Drosophila melanogaster: one gene and its partners. The protein of the gene in region 3 interacts with the protein of the main gene of each other region in a pairwise test. Each region holds a gene or a part of one and is shown on either strand. Other genes may lie near its edges. The genes, in order: RAF2, Lcp2 and CG15209.

The links.
Region 1: the proteins of CG15209 (region 3) and RAF2 interact in a two-hybrid assay, tested with the Drosophila melanogaster proteins (one large-scale study listed by BioGRID).
Region 2: the proteins of CG15209 (region 3) and Lcp2 interact in a two-hybrid assay, tested with the Drosophila melanogaster proteins (one large-scale study listed by BioGRID).

Annotation. Positions count from the first base shown.
Region 1 is NT_037436.4:16,384,691-16,388,450, reverse strand, and holds the start of RAF2 (RING-associated factor 2), read right to left. Parts: upstream 2,125-3,760; 5' UTR 1,881-2,124; intron 1,826-1,880; 5' UTR 1,815-1,825; coding exon 1,495-1,814; intron 1,431-1,494; coding exon 1-1,430. Other genes in the region: Agpat3 (1-Acylglycerol-3-phosphate O-acyltransferase 3), read left to right, coding at 2,997-3,023.
Region 2 is NT_033778.4:8,433,230-8,436,878, forward strand, and holds Lcp2 (larval cuticle protein 2), read right to left. Parts: upstream 1,557-3,649; 5' UTR 1,305-1,556; coding exon 1,293-1,304; intron 1,231-1,292; coding exon 862-1,230; 3' UTR 568-861; downstream 1-567. Other genes in the region: Lcp3 (larval cuticle protein 3), read left to right, coding at 2,260-2,271, 2,328-2,654. UniProt on the Drosophila melanogaster protein: Component of the larval cuticle.
Region 3 is NC_004354.4:10,840,365-10,843,553, reverse strand, and holds CG15209 (uncharacterized protein), read right to left. Parts: upstream 1,350-3,189; 5' UTR 1,309-1,349; coding exon 865-1,308; 3' UTR 559-864; downstream 1-558. Other genes in the region: CG32669 (uncharacterized protein), read left to right, coding at 1-449.

The DNA of each region.
Region 1 (3,760 bases), on a different chromosome or scaffold from region 3:
GAGCTCGCTGCTGTGGCGGAGCTCGCTGCTGTGGTGGAGCTAGCTGCTGTGGTGGAGCTAGCTGCTGTGGTGGAGCTAGCTGCTGTGGTGGAGCTAGCTGCTGTGGCGGAGCTAGCTGCTGTGGCGGAGCTCGCTGCTGTGGTGGAGCTAGCTGGTGTGGTGGAGCTAGCTGGTGTGGTGGAGCTAGCTGCTGTGGCGGAGCTCGCTGCTGTGGTGGAGCTAGCTGGTGTGGTGGAGCTAGCTGGTGTGGTGGAGCCAGCTGCTGTGATGGAGCTAGCTGCTGTGGAGATGGTCTATGTTGAGCCAGGTGCCGTGGTGGAGCGAATGGAGCTGTAGCCAGTTGCTGTGGAGGAGCTCGCTGCTGTGGTGGAGGAAGCTGCTGCGGTGGAACTGATCTTGGGAAGTGCATCTGTTGCACGGGGGCTTGTTGTAGTGGAGCAACCTGAGATGGAGCTCTCTGCGCGAGGGCAGCCACTTGTGGTGCAGCAGCATAGGATGCAGCGACTTGGGATAAAGCTGTCTGTTGAATCGAGAAAGTCGCATTAGCTTTCATGTTATTTGACAGCTTTTCGTTGGGATAGGATATCTGCATTTGGGTGGCCGTTGGCGGTGGAGTATTTAAACTGTAAGTGTCAGCTTGCTTGGCGGCAGTAGGCGGAGCCAGGGTATACGGTGTGCTCAGCTTAAAAGCCTGCTGACGCTGAAGAGGATTAGTCGATGGAGTGGTGGGCATTCTTAGATTTAATGGTGGAGCTGCCTCCATTGGCTTCTGTTGCTGCACCGTTGAAAACCCAATTATATTATCATCCTCGACTTCATTGTTGCGCTTCTCTTCGCTAGCGGGCGGTGTTACCGAACGGCGTCTTTTAAGAGTGGCATCAACCACAAGCGACTCTGCCTCATTTGGCGCATCTCGCGACCGGTCCTTTAGAGCCTGTTCCAATTCCCGACACGCTGAGAGTTTACCGTAGTCGAAGACCGGTTCCTGGGGATCCTTCTTTACCAGGAACTCGTCGAGGATAGAGGCACCGTTTTCGTTGTTTCCAAGTGGGTTTGCTTTCTTCCTTTCTGGCAGCTCGTAGTTTAGTTGGGGTGGAGCCGGAAGCGTAGGCTTATTTTCCTTGATGGGCGTAACCCTTGCCGGCTCTTGCTCTGGTTTCTCAGGCGAATCCTCGTTCTCCGTGTCGTCAAGGCAAATGAGTTCCGGCGAACCACTGCCGCTGCGGCTGCGAGAATAGCTACGACTACGACTGCGACTGCAACTTCGGCTAAGACTGCGGCTGTGGCTGCGACTACGACTGATGCTCCTGCTGTCGTAGGTTCTGCGCTGCCTGTCATGGAAGCGAACCAGGTGCTTCAATTTACGCTTGGGCAGCAAGTCCTTCAGGCCGTCAAAATAGCTGTTGTAGTCCATTTTATTGGGTCGCAGCCTGAAGTGTGATCGGATAAGATAGGATTACAGTTTCAGTAGGTTCTTTGGGAAGTAAGCCTTACCAACGAATACTGCGACGCTTGAAGTAAAGATTGGGCAGCCTGCCACGCTGTAACTGCAATTGCCGGATCCGCCGAATTGTTTCTGAGCGCGTGGAAGGTGGCACCGCATCGTCATCTGGCTTTTCATTTTTCTCAGTGGCAGCCGCCGATTCTGGAGCTCCATTTCCGGGTTTCTCGGACTCGGATCCCTTGGATTTTGTCTTTTGGGGTCGTTGCTTGCTCACCGCCGCGTCCATTAGAGCGTCGTATTCCTCCTCCTCGTGGCTATACTCGTCGCTACTTAGCTGCGAATTGGAGGAGTCGTAGATCTCGTTGGACATTAGGCCTGCAACTGGACGACGGTCAGGTATGTACATCTTTTGGCATTAACCCCCTCAAAAACTCACGCGCTCACGTCTGCAAATTTTTGGCCAACAAAAAATCGTCTGCCGGTTGAATATTCTAATCCGCCGACGGGCTCACCTTTTCAGTTGCTGAAAACCACTTAAAACAATGGCCCAAGTCCCCAAATAGGCTAATTCGGGTTTATACCAGTTTTAAAGCGTTTACTTTCAGCAAAAATCCAATTTCCAAATGCGAAAAAAAATTCGCCGTTCAATTCTGCGAATAATTTTGACAGGCATTTAGTATGGACGCAAACCAATAGGGTAACCACTTTTGGGAAAGTCTTTAAATAATACTGAATAAAATATGTTCTTCCAACTAGTTCTTAGTTAGGTAAACCAAGCAAACAAATTTTTAATCTTATTAAATTAAAGTAATCTAGTAATCTTATTAAATATTACTAGTTTCGGGGTATTCGGTCATTTCATATCTAAAAACCAAATAACTATATTAGAATAAGTTACTCACTAGAGTTTCATTTTTTGATTTATGGAAAAGTTAGCGTAGATCAAAAATCAATCATTAATAAGCTATAAGTTGTAGTGCAGATCGTTAGCCAAATTATTCAGATTTCCTTTACAACATTGCAACCTGACAGCCCTGGTGGCAAATATTAAATATTGAAAAATACTAAAGGCAAAAGTGGCGATTTTCCGTTTGTTCACCGGTGTCATCGTCATTGCACTCGAACGGTCATACCGTTTGGCTTACAAAAGAAAACAAATCAATTCGCACAAAAACATTGCCAAAAAGGTAAATGGCGGGCACGACGCCGCCGAGTGATAACCATATAGTAGTGACCAGTGTTTAGCAACCGATTCCCGCCCAGTGACACTCGTAAACAAAGGGCACGACCGACAGTGTCTGTATATATATGTGCATATGCGTAACAGGGAATAACCGATAAGAACGGCGCAGCTGCAGATAGACATACCTTTAAATAGGACTTTGTTTATTGATCGTTTGTGGGTGGCTATTGCCTTGCAGATCGCGAACTGATAACCATAAATGTTAACCACGTCACGCCACCCCACGCCTCTCCCAAACACACACACTCGCACACGTGCGCCAGCTGAGCACATGCATACGTATATGCATGCTCACACGCACACAATCGCATGGTCGTGCACAAGAACTCTTTTGTTGTATGTAAAGTGGACGATCGAAAAAGTAAACTAATTCAATACAATGGGTTCAGCAATCAACGTCGGGGTCACCAATTGAGTGCATCAAAAATACAATCAATTCGGCCCGGCGAATTTTCGGTTGATTCAGCTAATGGCGGTGTGCATAAGAAATGGCATGAAAAGTACTCCTTTTTTCATTGGATTTAAATCCCATTATCATAGGAAGAAATAAGAAATTTAAAAAAAGCAGTGCTTGTCAACTGAATGCATTCATTTCTATTACAAAAACGTAGTGCGTTCCATTGTGCATGTAAATATATGCAGTCCCAGTTTTATATTACGTGTCAAAACAAAAGATTGACCTTTATCATTGGTCGTTTTACAACCATTGTTTATAACTTTGTAGAAATACAAATAAAAACTTCTTTGATAAACTTTATCCGCTGACATGTTTTAAATCATAATTTAAGTAAATCATGATCATTTAAATAATAATCTCAATATATAATACCTATTACTTTAGTTTATTTAAAATCCGAAAATCGTTTCGAAACTTATTTAAATTTGCTTAAATTGAAATATCTAAAATATCCGAAGCCAAGTATTATTTAATAAGAAATATGAATAGCTAAACGCCTTAATGAAATGATTTAATTAGTTTAAAGTTTTAAAGTTGTCGTTTTTACTCATAATTAAAACGGTCGTAAAACTTTAGTACTTTTTTAAAACATCTCCATGTACAAAATGTAAAAAAT
Region 2 (3,649 bases), on a different chromosome or scaffold from region 3:
ATTGGTAGTGGACATCGGCGTTGTCACTTTCGAAACGTCCTACGGATGGGGGATGGGGGATGAGCCACTCAATCCAAAAACTGCACAGATCACCACGTGAACGAGAGCATAGACATTGAATACGTTCGTATCCTGCCGTTACTCACGAGCATGAACATTTTAGATTCCAATTTCTGTTTGCTCGAGAACGAACGTTGACTGATAACCACCAAAACTGAACCCAAGTCAATACGCTACATCTTTCATACGATTGGTGCTCTGAAATCTGGGTTGACTATGAAGATACCCCACACCCATTAAAAAGCATCGCATGGCAATCCACGGGATTAGTACTACGAGTATATACTAGGGTAATCGGCTCGTGTGGCATTGACCATTGCTTTTCTATTTCAATAAGTTTGTCCATTGGTATTGGCTTCTCTAATTGGCTTTTAAATACTACTTAAAATAAAAAAAAAATGCATTGAGACTTTTAGTGAGAATAAAATTGTATGCAAACATTTGCTTTTTTGTTTTTCAGATCTTTTAGACTGCCCAGATCCTTCTCAAATTTTAAAAGACAAAATTAATTTTTAATTCAGCACATCTTTTCTTTATGGACACATATACTCATTTTTGATAAATGGATTTAGTGAATCGAATATAAAAGGTAGAAGGAAGCATTCCCAGCGAAGGTAGAGGTATAAAAGCTCGTATTATTACAGGAACTACCTAAAAAGTGCAATGAAGAACACACACATTTTTACTGCTATAAGCAAGTGCATGTATTTTTTTGAAAGTCAAGAAGTACAGCTAAACAACTTGGGCGATTTGTTTCGGGAGAACAGTCCGTGGAGTGGTCCGGGATCCGGGTGACGAGTCCTAGTGATGACGGGGGTGCTCGGGTGCTGGGGGGTGAGACTCCAGCCAGGCAACGGCGCGGGCGATGGCCTCTGGGATTGGAGGAGGAGTGGGGATCCAGGCTCCCGAGGGCTGGTATCCGTTTTCATTCGCGACGTACTTTACCTCAACGTGCTCGCCCTCGGGTGAGATCCAGCCGAAGTTGCCGTGGATGTTGCCATGGGCATCACCGCTGGCGGCCTGCTCGATTCCGTTTGAGGTGTGCAGGCTGGAGTCGAATCCGTCGGCACGAACGTCGTCCGATCGGGAAAGGACATCAGCGTGTACATCATCGGAGCGGGAAACTGGGGCTAGGGCGGTAGCCACTCCCACAACGGCGAGAATCATCACCTGGATAGAGGAAATGATACCAATTAGATGGCGAGTTCATAAATGTCCTGTGAGCCACTCACAAACTTGAACATGTTGGCTGATTTCTGTCTGGTCGAGAACGAACGTTGACTGATAACTGACTTTGGTCGACAGAGTCTTTTTATATGATTCCCAATTTGGTTGCTTTCCAAACGAATTGCTTATTACTTTTTGGGCCAAATCTAAGTTATCACGAAACGCCCATGATGCCAACAAAAGGCAGGGCCCATAAATTCTCCACTTGACTCTGCGATACAAATGTCAAAAAACAAGTCTTGCGCTGCTGAACAGATTCCGAAATGAAACATGCTTCGGTAGAAATTTTGTAGGGGCGATGGAGTACGGTTTTCGGATTCTGTGCTCATCGATGACGTTTCGAGTTGACCAAGTCTTTATCAATCATGCCTGTACAAAATCAAAAAACCCAATACACTTCACTTGATAGCAGTCCCATCTATTTTAAAAGGTTCCGAAGTGGTAATAAACAATATACCGGAATAAACGATTTCGCAAGTGATACTGCATATTAACGTGCTAGTTGCCTATGACATTTTGTTGTATCTCAATATTTTGGATGTCACTGTTTAATTTAAAAAAACCCGCAAAGCTTTTGGCCAGAGTTGTCAACGTGCCACACACCAAATGAAACACCGAAAACTATGCTATGCTTAAGTTTAGTTCATATTGAAGTTGAATTTTAGAAAATTAAATATTGTACTGCTTAATAATTATTCTGGTTTCTGGTCCGGTTTGCTTTGCATTTCGGTTAGACTAGGGCGAATATTTCAGTTGAATAAATAACTAAGAATGCTCATCTCCTAATGAAAGTGGTTAAGCCATCTCAAGTCGACTAATTTGCATCCCAGACGGTTTTTATTATATGCATCACATTGACTTAATTATAATACGCACATTGCATCAGCTTTTGATGATATATAAACACCGATTTGAGCATAGATTGTCATCAGTCTTAGAAGATTTCTAGTCCGACAATCCACCCAAATCAAAATGTTCAAGATCGTAAGTATGCCTTGAGGAGCATAGTGACTTCGCAGTCTAATCCTGGATTATCCTAGCTGCTTGTCTGTTCTCTCGCCGCCCTGGTGGCCGCCAACGCTAATGTGGAGGTCAAGGAGCTGGTCAACGATGTCCAGCCCGATGGCTTTGTCAGCAAGTTGGTCCTCGACGACGGATCTGCCTCCTCCGCCACCGGAGACATCCACGGCAACATCGACGGAGTCTTCGAGTGGATCTCCCCCGAGGGTGTCCATGTGCGAGTGAGCTACAAGGCTGACGAGAACGGATACCAGCCCCAGAGTGACCTGCTGCCCACTCCTCCTCCGATCCCAGCTGCCATCCTGAAGGCTATCGCCTACATCGAGGCTAACCCCAGCAAGAACTAAGTGAACCCGCCGACTAGGAACATGAAAGATTGGAGACAGCTAGGTTGAGTTTGGATAATTTCTTACCAGTTGTTTTAAATTTAAGGAAAATGTTATCGAATTCGAAAATAAATTAAACCTTGCAATATAAACCAAGTGCATGTTTTACAAATCTGACAGTTCGATTTAAGAGAAGGCTCCCGGTATTATATGGTATAAGAAGGTACAATTAGAAGATTAAAAGTAATCAAAGACACTTTGGCCTTCATTAAATTACAATTGTGTTGTTATAGTATAGTACGAAATTAATTTAAATACAAAAATCTTTAAAGCATCTAAAATAAATGTAAACATTACAAAAATCTTACCTGGACAAGCCGATATCTCCTTGCATTAATTTCATATTTCCGAAAACTGGGTTATAACTAGTTATTATTTTAAGTTAAGTTCATAGGCAGCCACAAGTAATTAAATGTTGCCAACCTGATGCATCCCAGATAAGATCGCAGTATGATGAAAACGACGAGGAACTTTTTTATATCTATTATTTGTAGAGGATAAGGGTACACTTGAATTGTTAGAACGCATGTCGGTATTATGGGTATTAAGGGTATTATGAAGCGTTTTCGAACCTAAAAAGTATGTATATTCATCATCATTATCACTAGCCGAGTCGAATTTTTGTTTTTATATTGGTCTTTTTATGAATATAACTGAAATTGGCATTATAAGCCTAGATGTAAAAATCAAATTCTTCATCTTTTTTTTAACCTTTTTTAAATAGTCATACACGTAACAAAAAATAACACAGACTTCCCTGAGGTTACACGGTTATAAGATCTTGTAGTGATTTTTGGAGAAATATCAATCAAATTGCTGTGCTTTCGGATTTTTGATTATATTATGATATTGTAACTTAAGTGTTTAATAGTGATTGTATAAGTAAGAATCGTATACATTGTATATGTCAAACTCCACGGGAATGTTCATATTGACTTAACGGAAACTAGAGATAA
Region 3 (3,189 bases):
GTTTCGGACAACCGAAGCCACCGCTGGTCAGCTTGGATATGTCCACGGCTGGATGTCCGGTGGACAGGAGCTTTGCCCGCGACATTTTCCTCAAGACTGTGATAGCGGTGGCCGAGGAAGAGCATTACTTTTACCTGTACAGGATTAGCTACATGTGGTACGCTGCTTTGGGCTTCCTGATAACCTTCTTTGGCGGATGGCTGTTGTCCTGGCTGTTTGCCCTGCTGAAATGGGACAACAATCGACGCATCTACCAGGATGCGGACTGCACGCTAATCAAGCACGATCTCTTCGTGCCGCCGATAGCCAAACGTTTGCAACGGCGACAAATGCCGCTCCTGGTGGTCACCGGCACCAGTTCGGAGATTGGCGGCATCACGACAGAGAGCGCTACGGCGCCGCCGCGGCTGGACGAGATCGAGTGGGAGAAACACAAGGCAGTGGCGTAACTGAACACATCACCTTAGTAGTTTTTTCTTTTGTTTTTTTTTTGTAGCGCCGTTTTGACCTTAGTTACTCTCCATTAGCTATCACTGCAAGAAATAATAACTTTGCTGTACAATAATACGGTTTAGTTTATTTGCATTTCTATACGAGTCTAAAAATGAGGCAAACTATTATTTGAAAGAATTGCTGCTGGAATTACAATGCTCCTTATAATGTTCTAAAGAAAGTCAGGTCGGAGAATATCATATAGTTGCCATAGTATGTATATCTGCATGGGTCATCCCACTTCGTTCTCCGTGGAGCGTACTACTAGCCTTTTTCTCTTGTCACACAAAATATATATATATATATATATGTATATATATATTAAGTGAACTTTGGCTTTAAATAAACGAGCTTACTCATTAAGCAACTAAATTAACGCTCATCGATGGCCTGATTGGGCTGCTCCTCCGGTCCTTTGGCATTGTAAACATTGCGATTCTGGGACAGATGCCATAGGGCTAGCAGGCGGGCCAGCTCCGTGTAGGTTAGCTTGCGCAGATCACGTCGATCGGCCAGCTTAACTCCGGCGGCCTCTAGCTCCTCCACCAATGTGACGGCATCGTATTCATCCTCCGGATTCTGCTCATTGCGTGGCGCAATTTTTCCGACGAACTCCGACTCTGGCACCGCTTCGCTCTTCACCATGCGCTGCATCTGCTGCACATGCTGCTGTTTATGCTGACGTTGCTGACCCAATGGCTCGTCGACATCTTTTAGCTCCTGTTCGGGATTCATGGGCAGCGAATTGGCCAGGCTGACCATGCCGAGGATCACCAGGAAGATGACCGGAATATTGTTGCACCCAATGGGTTTCATGTTTACGTCCGACTGCTAGTAGCTTTGCTGTGGCACTGCTGCCCGCCTGTCGCATGTCGATCGATCGTGGCCTGGACTCGACTCTCGGGGTGCGCTCCAATTTCTATCTGCCTTCCAACCCGCTCGTACGCTCGCTCGGCTCCCTATCGCTCACTCGAACGCCCCGTGTGGCAGTGCTGGCTGGCGAAGACATTCGCTTTCTTCTTCCAGCATTTGGCTATTATTTTTTTTGGTTACTTTCGAATGCCATGGATTTTGGCAAACAATGGTGCCATTAAACTGCAAGTAAGGCGGGGATATAGATTCTTTTACTTCTAAAACTATATAAATTTGTAATAGATGAGCAGTGAGTGTTTTTAAAATGTATATTTTATTGTATGTTATGCAAAAAATGTTCCATTTAATTCAATACGCTGGAAACGAAGCGCAGCACTGTCGTTTGGGGGGCTGCTTTTGATTGAAAAGTCAGTGTGTAGGGTCGGTTAAATTATTTTATCTGCATATGCAGCACATACACTATACTATACACTATACAACATCGACCCCTGGTACATATGTTATTTAATTGTCTGGCTGGTGCCTTTTGTATTTTGTATTTTGTATGTAGTAGATCCCGCATTTCGTCGTTTTTTATTGTGTATTTTTGTTGGCTACGTTTTTTTTTTATTTTTTCTGTCCGCCTCCAATTCAATTTATCTGCGCAGTTTGTGCTCACTCGGTTCGCCGTCTTCTATTTTCTGCATGTTGGTTTGGCCTAATCTTATCAGCTCTTATTCATAGCCAATTGAACGAGTTGTAATGGTCGAGAGTTTTTAATAATTTCTAGTAGATATGGGTTAATGGACGACGCGCCCCGCGTTAATCAGTCGCAATGTTTCCTTGTGTACCGAACCAATCGGTCAGGCAATCTTAGGTCTAAGAACTTTGTTTGATTGGTCAAAATGTGAATGATATTATTCTACATTTACATGTTCATATTTCACACAAACAATTATTGCTCTATTTGCAACAATTCTAATGGAATACAGTTGAAAAGCAACTAGAGATACCTCGTCTAGAGTTTTAAATTCTTATCGGTAATTGGGCTTATTTAATTACTCACTGCTACAATTACTTTGCCTGCCTTCAGGCGTTGCTAAAAGCTTTTTTTTATAAACAAATTGCAATAGCATAGTCTAACTTGTAGTGCATGCCGAATTAGTGTCAACAAAGAAATTATTGTTAAATATATTGCGCTATTATGTGTTGAATTATAACGATTTGACAAATACACGTAACGACGTTCTTGAGTGACAATGGAAATTGAAAAAAAGTCGAGATTGTCAAGTTGCATGTAACGTGCGACGAAGTAAGTATTGATAAATGTAAATTCTAAATGGAAAATCGCAATTGTCAGTCTTATTTGCATTTTCCTAATGGTTTCACATCTGGCATGCGAGCAACCTACATACATATGTATGTGCTATGCTATATATACATACATATGTATATAAAGTGTTTATAAAATAAATGTACGTGCGAATGGAATGGCCAAAACATTCCACTGACTGATCGTTGTTAGCTTTTATTAGACTGCAAACACGTGCGCCAGCCCGCTTTGGTTAGTTAGTCATTTTTGGTTGAGAATGAAAAGAAGAAAAAAAAAAAACCCAGAACTGTCAGCAGCGTTGATAACCGTGTTGTGGGCCAAACACAACTGACTGACTCACTGTATAGGATAGCTCCATAGCCAGCTATGGGAGGTACCCTATCAAGGGCACCCAATAGCAGCAACCAATCCACTTGACTCTCTTTTGTGTGCATCTCCTGATGTCATCGACCAATAATGCGTTGGATCGTTTCCCTTCTTATCGCTAGCCAGTTGAACTGGCAGATTCCGCC